Canis lupus familiaris: one gene and its partners. The protein of the gene in region 4 interacts with the protein of the main gene of each other region in a biochemical or structural test. Links are inferred from orthologs where the notes say so. Each region holds a gene or a part of one and is shown on either strand. Other genes may lie near its edges.

Region 1 (4,066 bases), on a different chromosome or scaffold from region 4:
TGAGGACAAAATGTTTAACTTCCTTGAGTCTCAGTTAACTAGGTAAAACAGCTAATATCCTCACAAGGCTTTGCTGTGAAGATTATAAAGTCATGCATGTGAAGCACAGGACACAGCACATAAGCATTCAAGTTAGTTATGAATTTAGGCTAACTCCATCCCCGTTTGCTTGGCACAATACAGGTTTGCACCTGTTGGCATAAAAAAAGCATCCTGGTTAAGGCAATAAATTATGTGCTTACCTTAACAATGATGATGATGATGAAAGGAGTTAATATCAGAGTATTATATATTAATTATGACATTTTGGATCTTAAAGGAAAAAAATGAACACCACACAAAATAATGTAAGATTACATTCCTGCAAGATATTCTACTGATATTTCATTTAGTTATTCAATGAACATTTAAACGCTATTTATTTAGACCCATCCCACCAACAATGATTTAAAGCAGCAAATTTCTATTTTGTTCTTTCTGTTTTATATGGGTACTGGTAAACTTCAGACATTATTTTAAAAGAGGAAAATTCACAGATAAACACTAGCAGAGTTTCAGTTATTCAGACACACTACCCTTTGAATTCCCAATGAAAAATACCCATTCTCATTATGAAAAATGCCCAACACCAATAAACATATATCAAATAAGCCCATCCAATTACAGGGCCTGCAATACAAAATAAATATTTTTAAACATGCATTCTACACATAAATCATCAGGAGACGCAACAAAAAATAAATTACCTGACTGTTATGACATAGTATTGTAATACAATAAACTGGATTTTAGTTTTCTTCACTCTCTGCTCTAGAAAAAAAAAGAATCCATTATTCTTCCTCTTTCATAAGATACACATTTTCTATGAAATAGACACATCCTCAAAAAAACACATCCTATATATCTTAAGTTACACACCCCATAACCCAACCTAATTAGGATATTTGGGAAGATGGAGAAGGTCAGAGGAAACCAGGAATCTTGTGTTAGATATCAGATTTTCTTTAAAGGCTGAAAGCCAATCTACCTTTTAATATAAGCTTGCTTAAAATAGGCCTTTCTTTTTCAAACCAGTAATATTTTCAGATTCTGATACTTTCAAGGACTTACTTGGCACATTACAGTAGTCTATGGAGAAACTAAAGTATGAAAGATCATCAAGATACTTAGGCTAAAGAATGAAACATTTTTCAGTGCAACAGTTTCCTAAATCATACTTTAAAAAGCATCTGGATTGGTCTTCCTGGGTACTTTATTTTTATAATCTAGAAAACTGATTTTTGGAGGGCTCTAATTGTGCCTGCCTGGTCGCAAGTCATTCAGGATGGACATAACGTACCTGATAGGGTGATATGAGTAATTTTGTCTTTAATGAGGAAGAATCAAATACATGTTTCTAGTAGTAGAAACGACTATAGTACATTTATTTCTTCCTCCCTTCAATCATCCAAAGCGACTGCGGTTAATTCTGATTGAGGAAATGCGGGCTCTTTATTTGCACCAAAAAATTAATGTGGGACCTCGCAAATGGTGGATGACAACCTGATATAAATGCTTCCTCTTGCCCCCAAACAAAAAGAATGACCTAAATAACAAGACTGCTAGGCCTCAGATTCCCAGAGTAACCTGTGGAATAAGTATGGGGAAACTGTCTAGGGAAGGAACGTGGCTGTCTCCTCCATCTTGAAATTAATCAGCATAAGGGAAAAAGGGACTGAGTATTCAGGAAGCAGAAGCCCAACCGGTTAATACTAGTTACTAAAGCTATGGCGTACGTGGCAGGTACCGCCCGCAAAAGCCGAGACCCTTAGGCTTTTCTCTTTGAGGGGGGAGGGGTTGGGTTGTTGCCGGATTGAACGGAAATTAAGTTGAAAATCATTTGGCCCAATTCCCACCCTTACCCAGGGAAAAAACAACACGCAATGGCTTTTCCCTGCCTTTTCAGGGGATCCTTGCAGTGATATCTGGCAAGGGCTATGCCAGGGTTATTGAGTAAGGGAGCAAAACCACAGTTGCCCCGGATCCTCAGGGAAGATGTCATCGTGGCCCCAGGGGGCGCCTAATTGATAGTACCCAGCAAAAGGGCTCAAAATGGGGTTTTGCAAATCCTGGGAAATCTAAGGCCCAAGAGTTCCCAGCAGCTGACTTAGAGCAGACTGATATTTCCCCCTTTTCCCAAACCCAAGCCCGCCATATAAAAGGGGGGATGGGAAGGCGAGGGACGCCTCCAGATAACCAAAGAGAAAAATTTAAGACTATCAAAGATTCTCACGCCTGAGGCCAACACTCAAAAATCGCCTCCCCCAATTTCTCCAGACTGTGGAGGGCCCCCGGCTTTGGCTCGCACCGCCACGGAGAGGAAGTACTACCCACCTCCTTCCCCTTCTTCAAGAGACTGTGACTAAAATGGCAGCGGCGACTACGCCACGGAGCCCCCCGCAGCAATCAGCGCCTGGGGTCCGGAGGCGGTGCTGAGCGTCCGCCACAACGCGGGACTCAGGCCATTTTGAGAGAACACGGCAGCTGCAGCTCCGCTGTCTTTCCCTCGCTCTCCATCCATTTCTCAAGAGGATTTCCCAAGGCTTCACTTACTCGGTTTTAGTGTCGGGTCCGACTCCGTCGGTTTGGCTGCTGCCGCCGCTGAGGATCCTGCGCGCCTCCCCTGCCGCTGCTCTCAAGCCCGCCTCCGATGAGTCGCTGGTTGAGACCCGCCTCTAGCCTAGCGCCTGCTCCGAGACGTTGCTCAGGCAGCCATTATCTTCCCCATTGTTACCAAGCAGCGACAGGAAACGACAGCCCACAACAGGAAGTGATGATGCCGCGTCCCGGCCCTGCAGCCCCACTCCCAGCCTATTAGCCAATCCCAGGCGATTCCTCGAAAAGGCTCGGCGGGAGGAAGAAGGGGGCAGCAGACGACGCGGCAAGGCGGGCCAGCAGTCTGGAAAAGGAGAGCTGCTGTGACGCCCACCATGTGACAGGCCCCACCCTCCTCCGCCATTTTGAATTGTGGCGAGAAATTCGCGTTCTGAGAACTGTGGGAACCTTAGCTCTCCCGTTTTTGAAAACTGAAGAACGTCACCACTTGACTGCTTGAAGCCCTTTTCAGAGAGCGAGAAATGCGATACTAGTCCAACCTGGCGTCAATTCACACAATTGGTCCAGACTAAGTTGAACAGCGTCTTACCTTTTATTCAACATATATTTATCGAGTGCCAACTGTATGTCAAGCATTGTAGTAGATGTTGGGAATACAACGGAAATTAAAACGGACCAAAATCCCAGTTCTTACGGTTCTTTATATTCTACTTTCTCATGGTTCCTAGTACTTGGGGGAGGGACAATAATTACTATATATCTATATCTATCGGTGATAAATGCTGGGGAGAAAAAAGATTCGGAAAGGGGGTGGGGTGGGAGAGTGCTGGGTGGGGGTAAATGGGAATTGCAATTTTAAAGAGTGGTTAGAGATGGCCTCTCTGAGATGGTAATTTTCTGAAATGCTTGAAAAGGGGCGATGATTGTAACAGGATGGGAAAATCTGATAACGTTGGAATTTGTAAAAAGACAGTTAAGGAAGGCCTTTCTTAGATGGTATTAATGCCTGAAGGAAGTTAGGGAACCGACCACACAGCATCCAATTCCTGTTTTCACAGTTAACTTAAAAAAACAATCTTGTCCAAGTTTTTAGGGTGTTTCTGTGTTTCTTTTTACATTTTTTTGTTTTCTGTTTCCAGATAACACTGCCACTACACGTTTTCTCAATATTCTTCCAACAAACCAAACTTGTTCCCACCTCTATAACTATATATAGGCTAGAATATTTTCTTTTTTTTAAGACTTTATTTATTCATGAGAGACACACGGAGAGAGAGGCAGAGACACAGGCAGAGGTCGAAGCAGGCTCGGTGCAGTGAGCCCGAAATGGGACTCCATCCTGGGTCTCCAGGATCACGCCCTGGGCTGAAGGCGGCGCTAAACCGCTGAGCCACCCGGGCTGCCCTAGGCTACAATATTTTCATTTCATATCTTTGCTCTCATCAACTAAGCATCTTCTCAATGACTCCTC
Region 2 (3,514 bases), on a different chromosome or scaffold from region 4:
AGGCCTGCATGTCCAGGTCCGTTCCGCTCCTGTAGTGGCCTCACACCTAGATCCAGAGCCCATAGGGTCTCTCAGTCTTGGAATTCCCATTTCAGGGCCTTCGGGACTTAATCTGGAAAACCATCAAGAAAATAGTTACTGTCGTTTTAGCAGAAAGTCCTCTTACAAATAGTCTTGCAGGGCATGGTGAATGTGTTAGAAATAACCGTTGAGGCAGCTGCTCCGTGGCTCAGTTTCTCTCTGGAACGTGCTATCTAGCTTATGGGGTAGAGTATTGAGCCTCATTAACTGAAGTCCCCAAATTACATGGCAGGATGGTTAAGCGTGCTTTTTCTAGTTCTCGATCCTGCAGGAGACCAGGGGGCGCTCTGTGGCCTCCTTGCCCCAGCACAGTCTTGGTGGTGACTGTCAAAGACAGGGCGCACACAGAGGAGTTGGGCTCAGAGATTGACATCCTCGCCCTGACATCCACCTGGTCAACCACCTGGAGGCTCACAAGATCCTAATTAGGGAAGCCTGTTGCCCCAAAAGAAGTGGCTTCCTTTTGTCACCTCGTGTAAGAGATTATTCCTGAGGTGTGGCCTCTCGCTGCTTTTACATTCTCCCAGGAGCCTTGGTGGCCATAGTTGGCTTGTAATTCTGAGTCCCCGCCCTGAGGGTAGGGGTAGCGCCCTTTTCTCAGTTACAGATCTTATATGCAGCGTCCACATGCCCAGCACTTCTCGGGACAGCACGGACCTCAGACGTCCGTCTCCTTGTCTTCTGAGTCACTGAAACACGCTTGCTGGTCCAGTGTTTCTCCACCCAGACCGCATTTCTCAGACTGCCCCCTACAAGCAAAAGTGTCCCAGGAATCCTTCTGCAATCTAATTTGGACTTTGCAGATCCAGTCGCCCTATACTGAACATGTCTCAAACCCACGAACTGCGTGTTCTTCTGGAATTCTGACCTCACGTTGCCCAGTGGCTTCCCGACTGGGGCCGCTGAGCTGTCCTGGTCGGTCCTCATGACCGTGTGCCCTGGCGCGAATACAGCCGTCCTAGAGAGGAGACTGTATTTTTTTTTTCCTCCCTGAAAGCTGTAGTGGAAGGGCTCTAAGCTGAGGAAGACTTTGGGAGTTAGGAGAGCATCTCTGTGGCAACTCTATTGAGGAAAAAACTATTCAAAGCATCCCTCTCTTGGTGACATTGGACAGTTTAAAATACCTTGAAACTCTCTGTGGCTTGACAGCAAAATCTAGTAACTGAAACAGATTGTACGTTTCTCTTAGGATCATGTTAGCCACGACCCTTTATGTTTAAGACTTCAGGGTTTTACCACTGACTTAGAAGATCTTGGACCTTGTGGCTGTGTGGGGGTCATCTCACAGTAGATTGGAAGCCGTTGGAAATCAATTGCCTTTTTTCCAGACGCTAATGTTTTTGGTACAAGTAAAATTAAGTTACCTGGTCTAGTAACTCTCTGCGTGTACATTACTTTTATTAAACTGATCAAAAAGAAAATGCAGGATATTAAATAATAATGATTTCTTACACAAACAGCCATCAGTGGCCTATGCACACACCACGCCGGGCCTACCTTCAGGCTGGGAAGAAAGAAAAGATGCTAAGGGACGCACATACTATGTCAATCATAACAATCGAACCACAACTTGGACTCGACCTATCATGCAGGTACGCAGATCGTCCTACAACCTAAAATCACAGGCTGTAGAAGCCCAAACGTATGTGAGCTCGGTGCTCCCGAGGTGAATGTATTGTTCTGAAAGAACCCGTGTTTAAGATCATGTTTCTCACAGAGAAGATGGGAACTCTAAGCCTAGTATTTGCCGGAGGAAGAATTCGGTCCTCAAGCCAGTCCACCCCTAGACACGGTTTAGGGAGCCCGTCCCAGGGTGGAGCTTCTCTCCCTTGATTTCTGAGGCTGGCGTTTACGCTGGGCTAGTGATTCATTTCTATTTCCTTTGACTGTACTTCTCGATCGTTGCCCCCATTATTATGTTTAATCATTTTCCTCCACGCTTGAAATAGGCCAGCCCTCTTATTATTGCTGGCTTACGTTGTTTGGGTCCACGCTCCTCATCACTCGCACAGGAGTCCTCCTCCTGCCAAGCTAACTTGTTTTTGCCTCCGAAATAGCTCGCCGAAGACGGTGCGTCCGGATCCGCCACAAACAGTAACAACCACCTAATCGAGCCTCAGATCCGCCGGCCCCGTAGCCTCAGCTCGCCGACCGTAACCTTATCTGCCCCACTGGAGGTGAGAAGGCCTCATCGGCTCACCGGCTCACCCCCTCCCGGGACTTCTCATCTCCTTGCTCATCTTACTTGGGTTTGAGTGGTTGCAGCCCCCTGTCCCCCCCTCCCCTCTCTCTCTGATGGGTCGTGGTGTTGTCGTGCAGCCTTCCTTCATGCTTCTCTGTGCCGCCCGGCTCGCACCCGTGGACTGCCCCCCTCTGATCCCCATTCTCATTCGGCTGCCCCCGCGGCTCCTTGTGCCCGAAGGGGGCGCCCCTCTGCCGGACACTCTCCATCTCTCCTTGTGTTTCGCTCTTGACTTGCACACGAACTCTTGCCGATACCAATGCTTACGTTGCGTTTCCAAACATAGCTGTCGCTTTGATCATTTTTCTTTTCCTTTCGACGGTAGGGCCTGTCACCGTGCGGGCATATGTGTTTCTGATGCACACGCACATCTCGAAGCCATTGCGGGGCATCTGCGGGTGCCTTCTGTTTGTGTGGTGTTGTTGCCATCCCTTCGCATCACAAACGTCAGAGTTAGAGAAGCCAGAGAGCAAGTGTGTGAAGTTCTGAGCTTGACGGTGTCTCAGACCTAGCTGCGGGCCCGTTCCCTGGGTCTGCGATGCTGCTGGCTGGGAGCCGATGGGGTCTGTTCCAAACTGGGATGGGAGTGCCGGGGGGTAGCAACCTGCTGGTCCGGACGGCTGTCTCTGTTGGTACGGGTTTTGCTTTCTGTGCTCTAAAAATTGCCAACCCCTTCTTCATTAGACTGTGAGCTCATTAAGAGCAGGGGCATGTGTTTCTCCACCCTCTGTAAAATTTCCATCCGTAACGTTCAATACAGAACAATACTTGGGGTGCGCACTGAATAGCTGTCCACGGACCTTGGGTATAAGTACTTAATATTGTCATGTGTTTAACCAACCAGAAAACTTTAAAGTTAGATGGGTTGAAAAGTAGATGAATGACAGAAACGGGTTTTAGAGCTTCTCCCTTGTACCTCTTCAGAGAGCAGTGTCCCTGTGTACCCAGGTACATTTTGACCCTCCCCCCGGAATAGCAGCTGGTAAGAGTTCTAATGCTCGTTATTATTCCTTAGGGTGCCAAGGATTCGCCCATACGTCGGGCTGTGAAAGATACCCTTTCCAATCCACAGTCCCCACAGCCATCACCTTACAACTCCCCCAAACCACAACACAAAGTCACACAGAGCTTCCTGCCGCCCGGCTGGGAAATGAGGATAGCGCCCAACGGCCGGCCCTTCTTCATTGACCA
Region 3 (3,969 bases), on a different chromosome or scaffold from region 4:
GCACAAAGCGGTGACTCACCCAAGGGCTTGTTTGCCTCTCGATGGAAATCTTTAGTAAAGAAAACACCTCTCGAGAAGACTTACTCCCAAAGCCCTCTGGGCCTGGGAGCAGATTATTAGTCTTAGTCACTCAGGGTATTTCACAAGAACTCAATTTTAGCAAGAGGAACCCAGTGTCACTTCACCTGTATAAAGGCTCGTCACACACTCTGCACGGTAGGATTGGCTCTGAAGATGAGGCTCCAAGCCCCCTACTCTCAGCCAACGGGTCCCCTTCCACAAGACCTGAGCACTCCGGCAAACACAGGTATGCCAGCCACAGGCCCAGCTGCAACGGCACAAGCTGGGCTCCGCAGGCTCCGCGCCAACGCCAACACACCGCTCACGCTCCCACGTCCAGTCTAGGGCAATGCTTTCCAAGACTTCTCTTTCCAGAAGCTAACAATCTGTGGCTCAAGAAGCTGCAAGTGTGCGCCCCTGCAGGCTCCCACTGCCTCTGCTGTGTCCCTAAGGACGCACCTGAGAGTGATTAAAACAGAATCAGTAAAACCAGATCGTGAGCTTTACTGCTAAGTAAAACTTAATCAAGTAGAGCCAATCAGTGACTTCCTACGGTCACATCCCACCTGACTGATTCAATCAGGATGGATTAAGTCCTGGGAGATGAGATTTTCTCTCGGCCAAAGTAAAGATCAAGGCCATAACAAAATAGTATTTGCACTAAAACTCAATAATTTGAATTTCACTGTAAGAATAACCCCGGTTATTCTGGGCGCTCTCCTGACCCCACAAAAAGCCTGGTCACTTACAGGCCAGAGGGGCCCCTCAGTCCCCCCAGGTCTCATTTTCCTCTTGGGACTGCCCCTGTCCCCCCAAGGGTCAACCTGCTTCTGCTTAAGTTCACTTTGGTTTGGCTAAAAACACAATTCGCTGATGCAAAAGCCTGTTTTTGACTTAAAAATACACTCAAGCAAAAATAAAAAAAGAAAATACACTCAAGCATTTCTACTTCACCAGAACGTGATGGGACAGAGGTGAGACAAAAACCACCAGAGAGGTCTGATAAAACCTGGCGGTGGGCACTCTGTGGCGTGACACAACCACTTTGCTGAAAGGTCAGATGCCTTGAAAAACGAGGGAGAGGAATGGAAGCGCCTGTTCTATATTCACGTTCAACAGCCAGGGCAGGGCTGAGCGAGCACACGCACGGACACCTGAGACAACGTGAGCAAGCACCAGGAATGGGGGGACACTGAGGGCTTATCGTCACGTCCGGTGTGACAGTGCTACACTTAGTGACTGGGCTGGAGGGGAGCCGGGCCCCAGAAGCCACTTCCAAGCCAGGACGTGAACACAGCCCTTAGCAGCGCTTAGCAGCGACGGTGGGCGCTGGCCGAGGGGACGGGCACCCCCACGACAGCCTGCGTGCCCGCTGGAGAATCGTCCCGTGGCGCTCCAGCGTCCCCCGGCCCACGGGCGTCACGGCTGACTGTGAGCACAGTAAAAAGCCACACGGCCCTCTCTTACAGAACTTTCCATGGGCTCCTCACACAATCATGGGCCCAAACCACCTGCCTTTCTTCTGTCAGCTTGTGTTGAGCAGAGTGACCCCAAAACCCAAGCACCTTGCGCAGGTGTTTCCGAGGAGATGCCCTGGCCAGGCCCGCAGGCAAAGCTCGAGGGGGAGGGAGCACAGGGCACACTCACAGTCTGGGCAGCAGCCATTAAAGGCCATCCGGCAGATGCCACAGTTCTCGTCGTTGGCCACCCAGAGCCAAGTAGCCACGCCGTTCCAGCACTTGATCTTCACCTTCATGGCCGCGGAGCCTACAGGGGGAGGAGACATCGCCGGGCCACACTCAGTCTGCACAGCTACCCATCTAGGCACCCAAGGGGCGCGGCTCCCAGCCGAGGGTCAGCCGGGGCCGGACCTGCTGCCAGAGCTCAGAAACCCTGAGAGCTCTGCACCAGCGGCAATGGCAGGGCCCGGGCCACCCTTGGGAGAACAGCGCGCCCCAGAGCCAGAGTTATCGGCGAAGACTGCAGGGTCCGCCCTGCGTCCCCAAAAGGGCACATGGGCTTCGCCAGTAATTCCAAAAACGTACCATACGGGTTTTTTTCAAAGAGATACGACTAAATCGGGGTTGACAAATAGAGACCCCAACCCAGGTGACCACGAGTTCACGCCAGGGAACCACCACCCAGCCCACTAGGCCTGCGCCACCACCCCAGGGTGAGGGTGCAGAGTGGGGGGTGCCGGGCAGGACCCGGGGTTGCGGGGGAAGGGGTGAGGGCAGGAGCATGCAGAAGGAGTGCGCAGAGGCCAGGAGAAAGTGAGGTGCAGGGAGGGACCAGGGTGTGTGGAGAGTGGGATGTGGGGAAGCGGTGGGGGGGGAAGGGCGGAGCGGAAGGCGCAGGGGTGCGAGCAAAGAGTAGGGGAAGGGGTAGGGGTGTGGGGAGAGGGTGGGGTAAGGAGCGGGGGTGCCTGAAGGGGGTAGGGAAGGCGCCGGGGTGCGGGGAGAGGGCAGGGGAGACGCAGGGGTGCGGAGGGAGGCGCAGGAAGTGGTGGGGGAGGTGCGGGAGCGCGGGGAGGGCGCGAGGCCGGGGCGCGGGGAGGGGGGGGGGAGGGGAGGGGAGCCGCCCGCCCCGCCCCGCGGCCCCGCCCACCTGCGCCCCCCGCCGGCCTCCGCGCGCCGACCCCGCCTTCCGTCGGCGGCGCCCGCGTGGGAAGGTATAAAAGCGGCCGCGGCCGCCGCCGGCACCTCAGCTGCGCCCGCCGAGCCCGCCGTCCGGCGCACGCGCCCCCGCTCCCGCCCGCCCTGCCCGCCCTCGCTCCCGCCCGCCGCGGCCAATCCCCGGCGGCCCCGGCCTCGGTCCCGGCAGGCCGCGCGCGGCCCCGGAAGTGACGCGCCGACGTGCTGACGCGCGGGCTCGAGCCGAGGCCGACTCCGCGCCCGCCATGGCCGACAAAATGGACATGTCTCTGGACGACATCATCAAGCTGAACCGGAGCCAGCGAGGCGGCCGCGGCGGAGGTCGGGGCCGCGGCCGGGCCGGCTCCCAGGGCGGCCGCGGTGGCGGGGCGCAGGCCGCCGCGCGAGTGAGCCGGGGCGGCGGGCCCATCCGGAACCGACCGGCCCTCGCCCGCGGCGCGGCGGGCGGCGGCGGCAGGAACCGGCCGGCGCCCTACAGCAGGGTGAGCGGGGCGGCGGGCCGGCGGGCGGGGGCGCGCGGGGGCGCGGGCGGCGGGCCGGGGGGCTCGGGCCGGGCGGGCGGGGGGGCGCGCGGCGGCCGCCCGGGGCGGCGGAGACCCTCCGGGCCTTTGTCTGGGCCGGGCGCTGGGCCTCGTGGCGGCGGCGGGCGTTGGGCGCGGCCGCGCAGGCGGCGGGAAGCGGGTCGGAGGGAGCGGCGGCGCCCGGGACGCCGGGGGGACGGCGGGCGGGGGCGTGCGGGCGCCGCAGGGTCCGCGGGAGACGCTCACGGGCCGCGTGCTCCTGTGCTCTCCTCCCCCCGCAGCCGAAACAACTTCCCGACAAGTGGCAGCACGATCTCTTCGACAGCGGCTTCGGGGGCGGCGCCGGCGTGGAGACGGGTGGGAAACTGCTGGTGTCCAACCTGGATTTCGGAGTGTCGGACGCGGATATTCAGGTGAGGGGCGGGCGTTCGTCGGTGAGCGGGTCACCCGCACCCGGTGGCCCCGTTGAGGACGCGGCCTGAACCGCCCGCGCCGCACCTTAGGGCGGGGAGCCCTAGGGGCCCAGGGGCAGCCGCCGGCCCTCTAAGGGCTGCAGGAGTGCAGAGCGGAGGTCCTGGCCCGGGAAGTGCGGCCGGCAGGTCGGGGTGTCGGAGGTCGGGCCCGGCCTAGCGGGACGAGCTGCCGCTCTTCCTGAGTCGTGCCCCGCGCGGGGGCGCAAACCCCCTGCCGGAGCCCTCGCTCCTGGCGGGAAACCTCGACCTAACCTGAGCGGT
Region 4 (3,514 bases):
ACACTGCAAAGTGTGAAACATTATACAACCAAAGAGAATTATCTGCTTCTAAAATTGTAGGGACAGTAACAAATGTGACCAACTTTCATATATATATTTTTAAATTTATTTATTCATGAGAGAGACAAGAGAGAAAGAGAGAGAGGCAGAGACACAGGCAGAGGGAGAAGCAGGCTCCATGCAGGAGCCCGATGCAGAACTCAATCCCGGACCCCAGGATTATGCCCCAAAGCTGAAGGCAGACTCTCAACCACTGAGCCACCCAGGCAAACCAACTTTCATATTAACCACAGCTCAGAATAGAATACAAGTGGACTTTGCTATTTTGCTGAAACTGTATTAATATACAGTGATTCAAGAAAATACCATGTGCAAAGGCTTTTTAAGAAAGATTTTATTCTGGGGGCACCTGGCTGGCTCAGAGGTAAAGCATGCAACTCTTTTACTTGGGGTTTTGAGTTCTGGCTCAATGTTGGGCATGGAGCCAACTTAAAGGAAAAAACAAGATTTTTAAGTAATCTCTGCACCCATCATGGAGCTCAAACTTACAATCCTGAGATCAAGAGTTGCATGCTCCACAGACTGAGTCAGTCAACCAGATGCCCTAATATGCAGTATTTTAATTTATACCATGTTTTGAGATGTTTATGAACCCACCATACAGTACTTTTAGTTTTTTTAAAAGATTTTACTTATTTATTCATGAGAGATACAGAGAAAGAGAGAGAGAGGCAGAGACATAGGCAGAGGGAGAAGCAGGCTCCATGCAGGGAGCTTGACGTGGGACTTGATCCTGGGTCTCCAGGATCACACCCTGGGCTGAAGGTGGCACCAAACCGCTGAGCCACCCAGGCTGCCCAGATAAATTTATTCTTAAATACTTTGGAACCAACATTACTTAATAATGGAAGTATATACATTTAAAGTAACTGTTCAATTCACTTTAGTATTCCTTTTAAAAGTACTTTACATGGGGATGCCTGGGTGGCTCAGTGGTTGAGCATCTGCCTTCGGCTCAGGGCCTGATTCTGGAGTGCTGGCATCCCTTGCAGGGAGCCTGCTTCTCCCTCTGCCTATGTCTCTGCCTCTCTCTGTCTCTCTCATGAATAAAATAAGTAAAATCTTTTGAAAAATAAGTAAAATTATATGTATTGAGTATTCTAAGACTGATATGCTTCTATTATATATTAAAATAATACATCTAGTTTCTACTTGTATTAAGAATTCTTGCGAATTCTAAACAAGGAAATATGTCAAATTATTGAACTGTTCTAGGAGCTGGAGAAAGTTCCATGTCCAGCCTCAGCCCTTGAGGCTCATAACTCCACAGGAAATCAAAGTTGAGACTTCAAGCCATGCCGACTACCAAAAGCGAACGAACAGCACATATATATAGCATGTAAAACCCTAATTCTAAGCACTCTGAAACAAACATTATATTAATAAGGATATACAGAAAATAAGGAGTGAACAGATTTTTTTTTTCAGATCTTAATTATTCATTCGAGAGAGAGAGAGAGAGAGAGAGGGAGGGGGAGAGAGAGAGAGAGAGAGGAAGAGAGAGAGGCTAGCCTGATACAGGACTCGATCCCAGGGCCCAGGATCACGACCTGAGCCAAAGGCAGATGCTCAACTCTGAGCCACCCAGGTACCCCAGAGCAAACAGCTTTTCAAGGGAAAGGAACAGGTTTATTAATAGGAACCAGGCAGAGGAAACATAGCAGACCAGGTGAACTGACGGGTAGAAATGAATGACATCTTAAAAAAAGCAGGAGTCCATAAAAAACGGGAGTCCGAGGAATAATAAGAATTTAGGAGATGAAGCTGGTTTTGTGGACAGTTAAATCATGGAAAAACTCTGCAAACCAAAGAATCTGGATTTACCAAGTAGGTGATATCCGAGCTTCTAATAAGTTTTTAGTAGTAAAGTAAGATTTCTACTTTAAAAAGCTCACTGCTATCAAGTAGATGAAGGAAGGGACAGCTATCAGAGCAGTTGAACTAAGACATTTTTTAAAATGTGAACTAAGGCCGATCAGAGAAGTATGAGAGATATTGGGAATGGAATCACCAAGAGAAAAGAAGGCACAGAGAATTTCAAGTCTGTGGCTTGGATACTTAACTAAATAGGCGATGGTATCATAGAAGGATGGTCACGTTTGCAGGATTTAAGATTTTTTTTTTAAGATTATTTATTCATGAGAGACACGGAGAGAGAGAGAGGCACAGACATAAGCAGAGGGAGAAGTAGGCTCCATACAGGGAGCTGATGTGGGACTCGATCCCAGGTCTCCAGGACCACGCTCTGGGCTGAAGTCGGCACTAAACCACTGAGCCACCCGCGCTGCCCTGAGGATTTAAGATTCTACATTCAGTTTTGGGAATGCTATGCTGAGGTATCCATGAAACATATATAACTATCCAGTTCTGAACAGGCTCTTGCACTCAAGGAGAGGTAATGCCTAAACATTTTCTCAACTTACAGGTGATAGTATCAGTGTAGATATGATCATCCATGTGACCATATACAACAGTAAAAGTAAAAGGAATGATGTCTAAACCAAGGAACTCTTTTTAGAAGGAAGAAAAGAAATAATTGTAGGAACTAAGAAGGAATAACTACAACTACCAAGATGAGAAGAGAGTAGTATGTTAGAAGTTAAGAGAAGAAAAAAATTCCAAGTGGGGGACAAAAAAAAAAGCTCAGTAAATCCTAATGGCGTAGAACAGGGTTTCTCACAGGACCAGATAAGTAAACAAATGGATGTGGCTGTATTCCAATAAAACATTATTTACAAAAACAATAACTCTAGGTGTAATTTGCGGACCTCTGCCTTGGAGATCACATCAACTGAAAGATCAAAACTAAAAAATATTTATTCCATCTGGCAATTTTAAGATCCTTGGTAACTTTTACACTATGCCACTTCAGTCACAGCAAGAGCTGGTTAAAATTACCAGGGAAGGATTATCACTAAATGGAGGGATGGATAGATACGCACATGATAAAGCACGTATAGTAAAATGCTAATCACAGAATCCAGATGCAGGTAGGAATATGCGTATTCACTATATAAATATTTTGACATTGTGTTTGAAAATTTCCATTAAGTTTTTTAAAAAGCATCATATACTCAAAGTAGTGTATTAAAAATCAGTAGGTTTTCGCTATTACATCTGACAAAATAATCTTACCATGAGAAAGAAAACCATTTCCAAATTTAGTCTTTCTAAATAGAACTATGCTCATGTGTTAACACTGCAAATCACTACAGTAGTAGAAATTCATAGGTAAGTACAAGCAAGTCTTACCTGATTTGCTACTACTGCATCTTGTGGATCATCCGGTTCTGCAGCTGCCAAAAGGGCTTGCAATGACAATAATACCGTGCGGAGAGTCATTGCTGCAGCCCTAAAAAAACAAAACAAGAAAACATCTCAGTTAAGAACATGCAGCGTGACAAAAGTTAAGTGATTTTCTGAATATAAAAACTACTGGAGCTAAAAATAATCT
Region 5 (3,514 bases), on a different chromosome or scaffold from region 4:
GTTAGGGTCACTCTTCTCTGCCAGATGGAGTCTAGGTCATTCAGGGGCTCGAGCTGGGAAGCCTTCTATGGGGGACAGTGCCCTGTTTGCCTGCCTGGGATCTGTTCCCCTTTCTTTTTTCTTTTTTTTTTTTTTTTTAAAGATTTTGTTTATTCATGAGAGACACAGAGAGAGGCAGAGACACAGGCAGAGGGAGAAGCAGGCTCCATGCAGGGAACCTGACTTGGGACTCTATCCCAGGTCTCCAGGATCAGGCCCTGGGCCGAAGATGGCACTAAACTCACTAAACTGCTGAGCCACCCGGGCTGCCCTTTTTTTTTTTTTTTTTAAAGATGTTCTCCTTTCCATTCAGTGATGTCATCGGTAGTCATTGGCCTAGGCACCGCTTTCGGCACTTGGGATACAGCAAGGAAACACAGGTTCTAAGGAGGGAGGACAGACCATAAGCAAGCAATACAGTATAATAAATTTGTAGTTAATGTTGATGAGTGCTGTGCAAAGGAAACAACCAAAGCAAGCTAAGGGAAGTTGGGCCTGTCTGGAAGACAGGTTGGCAGTTTCGATTATAATGGTTAGGAAAGGGCTCAGTCCTGCACACCTGGAGGGTAGAAGGGAGTAGAGACCCCTTTTCTGGGTTCAGAGCACCCTAGGCCAGGATCCTGTTGGCGGGGTGGGATGTAGGAGATGAGCTAGAGGAAGTAGGGGCTAACTCATTTTCTCCTCTGTGGAGGGGGAAGCCAGAGGAGGGTTTTGAGCAGAGGAGGGATGTGACTGACCTAGGCTTTGGAAAGATCCTGTTTTGTTTGAGAGGATGGACCCCAGGCCTGGGTGCTATTACCGGAAAGAACAATAGGTGTTGGGTAGTCATAGAAACAGATGGTGGCCTCTTGCTTCTCGTCTACATTTGTTCATTGCTTCGCTTTCCACTGAGCCCCTGCCACTACTGTCACAGCCCTAGCCATGTGGTACTGTCACAGACTATTTCCTGCTAAATCAGGGAGCCTTCTGAACTCAGAGCCTGGTTTTTCCCAGGCATTAAGTAAACCCATTTTTAGGAGGATGGCCCTGTAGAGGTTTGTTGGGTGAATGCATGAATAACTGAGTTCTGTGTTTCCCTGTCCCACCCTTATCCCCCTTAGAAGTTAAAGTCTGACACAGCCGCTGCAGCTGTGCGCCAGATGAATCCGCACATCCGGGTGACAAGCCACCAGAACCGTGTGGGCCCTGACACAGAACGCATCTATGATGATGATTTCTTCCAAAACCTGGATGGTGTGGCCAATGCCCTTGACAACGTGGATGCCCGTGAGTTTGGAGGCGGGTGAGGAGGTGGGCGGGGGGAGGTGGTGTGCATGTGTGCCATCAGGGATGCCTGTCTTTCCATCCTCTGTTGACATTCCTGTCCTGACACATGTGCCCCCCCCACACACACACACCCTATCCTCCTTAGGCATGTACATGGACCGCCGTTGTGTGTACTACCGCAAGCCGCTACTGGAGTCTGGCACACTGGGTACCAAGGGCAACGTGCAGGTGGTGATCCCCTTTCTGACAGAGTCCTACAGCTCTAGCCAGGATCCGCCTGAGAAGTCCATCCCCATCTGCACCCTGAAGAACTTCCCCAACGCCATCGAGCACACTCTGCAGGTGATCAGCTTTTTTGGGGGGAAGGGGCAGGGAGGGGAGGGAGCAGGCACCTTCATGGCAACTAGGCCCCCTCCCCCTCCGGTGTCACCAGCCAAAGCTCAAGATGTGCTTTCTCTCCAAACTTTCCTCCCTCGCTTCCCATCCCAACAGCCTGGGTTTCTAGAGCGATTTCATTCATCTTTCATTTTGAAAAGTTTTCAACACAGAAAGACAAAGAGCGGTATGGTGAACACTCAGCGTTCGTCACCTAGATGTAATAGTTAATGTTTTGACACATTTTCTTCTTAGATTGCCATATCTTTCCTTCTTTGTGCTGAAGTGTCTCATAGGTATCACAACACTTAACTCCTTAACATTCTAACAGGCATCTGTGAGGGAAGTATGTTCTGCCTAACAGGGTCTCTTCGACCTCGGCATTGTTGACATTGGGGGCCAGGTATTTCCTTGCCAGTGCAGGGTGGATGGGTGGGTGGGTGGCTTCTGCACTGTCTAGTGCTTAGCGGCATCCCTGGCTGCAGGAGGGTGCGGTTGCGGCTACTCACAAGGTCTCCAGACATTGTCAGATATCCCCCCACTCCTCCAGGGGGCAAAATCGCTCCCAGGTGAGGACCACTGCTATCTAACCCAAATCCTGCTTGCACGCTGAACAAAATTACTGGTGATTACCTCCTGCAGTTATTTAGGTCTTTAATGTTTTAGTTCTTCTTCACGTGTCACCAGGTGATGCTCAGAATGGCTTCAACAGCTAGTTTCTCAGGATGATCCTGTGCACCTCTCACCAGGCTGAGTCTTGATAAAGTGAACGCACCTATGTAACTGGTATACCAGGGCCACGAAGGAGAACCTAAGGGTGACCTGAGGATAACGATTGTGCTATCAGAGTGACTGTAGTCTTCGAGAACAAACCATTCAGAGTGTTCAGTTAGGAGCAAGGGGGGGGTTGGCGAGATCCAAACAGGGCAAAACTGGCTTCCTCGGCCACCTTCCTTTCTGCCTGTAGTTCCAGAGTATGCACGTTCATATTTGTGGGCCCTCCATGGTCTCACTGAGCCGTGTGTGACTTTGGATTCTACCTCATCGTGCCTGACTCTTCTGTGAAACGGGGCTGACAGCATTGTCAGTCTCATGGTTGCGAAGCACTTGGCATTTACTTGTATTTGGTGCTGTTTAAGCGAATTTTTGAGTGGATACATCCTTGCTCATTTCTTTGCAAGCCCACCTCATGATAGGTATTACTGGTAACGATATCTGTTTTAGGAAGGAGAATGCAAAGGTAAGTGTTGCTGTGTGTTTCTAAAGTCCCAAAACTAGATACTAGGTAGGAGAGCTGGGGTTTGAACCTAGATGTCCTCTCCTCCCAGCCTTCCACCAGTGAATGCATTTACTGTCTTTAGGAATTTTCAGAGTACAGGAATTCCTTAGGAATTTACAGAGTGTCTGGTTTACTGCTCAGCCCCAGGGCCTGTATGGCAATCATTTTTGATTTGGGTCTGATGGTTTTTTTCTTTTTTAAAACTGGTAAAATATACATAGCTAAAAGTTTGGTTTTTGTTGTTTTTTTTTAATCGAGACATAATGGATCTCTAGTGAGGTACACAAATCCTTAATAATTTTATTCCGTGGCCCAAATCAAGTTCATTCGTTTTTAAATTGAGGCACTGGGGGTGTGGGGAAGATGGGGGAGCAGGGGCGGAAGGTTTCTCTTTGCTCAGAGCAGCGGTGTTCTTCTAACTGGGTTTATTTACGGACAGTCTTTTAATTTTTATTTATTTATGATAGTCACAGAGAGAGAGAGAGAGAGGCAGAGACACAGGCAGAGGGAGAAGCAGGCTCCATGCACCGGGAGCCTGACGTGGGATTCGATCCC

Evidence for each region.
Region 1: the proteins of UBE2K (region 4) and RLIM form a complex in vitro, tested with the Homo sapiens proteins (2 studies listed by BioGRID). The link is inferred for Canis lupus familiaris from reciprocal best matches to the Homo sapiens genes UBE2K and RLIM.
Region 2: the proteins of UBE2K (region 4) and NEDD4L form a complex in vitro, tested with the Homo sapiens proteins (2 studies listed by BioGRID). The link is inferred for Canis lupus familiaris from reciprocal best matches to the Homo sapiens genes UBE2K and NEDD4L.
Region 3: the proteins of UBE2K (region 4) and ANAPC11 form a complex in vitro, tested with the Homo sapiens proteins (3 studies listed by BioGRID). The link is inferred for Canis lupus familiaris from reciprocal best matches to the Homo sapiens genes UBE2K and ANAPC11.
Region 5: of the proteins of UBE2K (region 4) and UBA1, one has a biochemical effect on the other in vitro, tested with the Homo sapiens proteins (9 studies listed by BioGRID, with this or other methods). The link is inferred for Canis lupus familiaris from reciprocal best matches to the Homo sapiens genes UBE2K and UBA1.

Annotation. Positions count from the first base shown.
Region 1 is NC_049260.1:58,047,706-58,051,771, forward strand, and holds the start of RLIM (E3 ubiquitin-protein ligase RLIM), read right to left. Parts: upstream 2,809-4,066; 5' UTR 2,593-2,808; intron 811-2,592; exon of another isoform or gene 747-810; intron 313-746; exon of another isoform or gene 243-312; intron 1-242. UniProt on the Homo sapiens protein: E3 ubiquitin-protein ligase.
Region 2 is NC_049222.1:17,786,271-17,789,784, reverse strand, and holds part of NEDD4L (E3 ubiquitin-protein ligase NEDD4-like), read left to right. Parts: intron 1-1,541; coding exon 1,542-1,673; intron 1,674-2,138; coding exon 2,139-2,258; intron 2,259-3,338; coding exon 3,339-3,514. UniProt on the Homo sapiens protein: E3 ubiquitin-protein ligase that mediates the polyubiquitination of lysine and cysteine residues on target proteins and is thereby implicated in the regulation of various signaling pathways including autophagy, innate immunity or DNA repair.
Region 3 is NC_049230.1:1,219,899-1,223,867, forward strand, and holds the start of ANAPC11 (anaphase-promoting complex subunit 11), read right to left. Parts: upstream 2,814-3,969; 5' UTR 2,668-2,813; intron 2,564-2,667; exon of another isoform or gene 2,106-2,563; intron 1,828-2,105; 5' UTR 1,817-1,827; coding exon 1,708-1,816; intron 1-1,707. Other genes in the region: ALYREF (THO complex subunit 4), read left to right, coding at 2,960-3,196, 3,517-3,648. UniProt on the Homo sapiens protein: Together with the cullin protein ANAPC2, constitutes the catalytic component of the anaphase promoting complex/cyclosome (APC/C), a cell cycle-regulated E3 ubiquitin ligase that controls progression through mitosis and the G1 phase of the cell cycle.
Region 4 is NC_049224.1:73,290,149-73,293,662, forward strand, and holds part of UBE2K (ubiquitin-conjugating enzyme E2 K), read right to left. Parts: intron 3,413-3,514; coding exon 3,313-3,412; intron 1-3,312. UniProt on the Homo sapiens protein: Accepts ubiquitin from the E1 complex and catalyzes its covalent attachment to other proteins. In vitro, in the presence or in the absence of BRCA1-BARD1 E3 ubiquitin-protein ligase complex, catalyzes the synthesis of 'Lys-48'-linked polyubiquitin chains.
Region 5 is NC_049260.1:41,000,376-41,003,889, forward strand, and holds part of UBA1 (ubiquitin-like modifier-activating enzyme 1), read left to right. Parts: intron 1-1,139; coding exon 1,140-1,305; intron 1,306-1,450; coding exon 1,451-1,647; intron 1,648-3,514. UniProt on the Homo sapiens protein: Catalyzes the first step in ubiquitin conjugation to mark cellular proteins for degradation through the ubiquitin-proteasome system.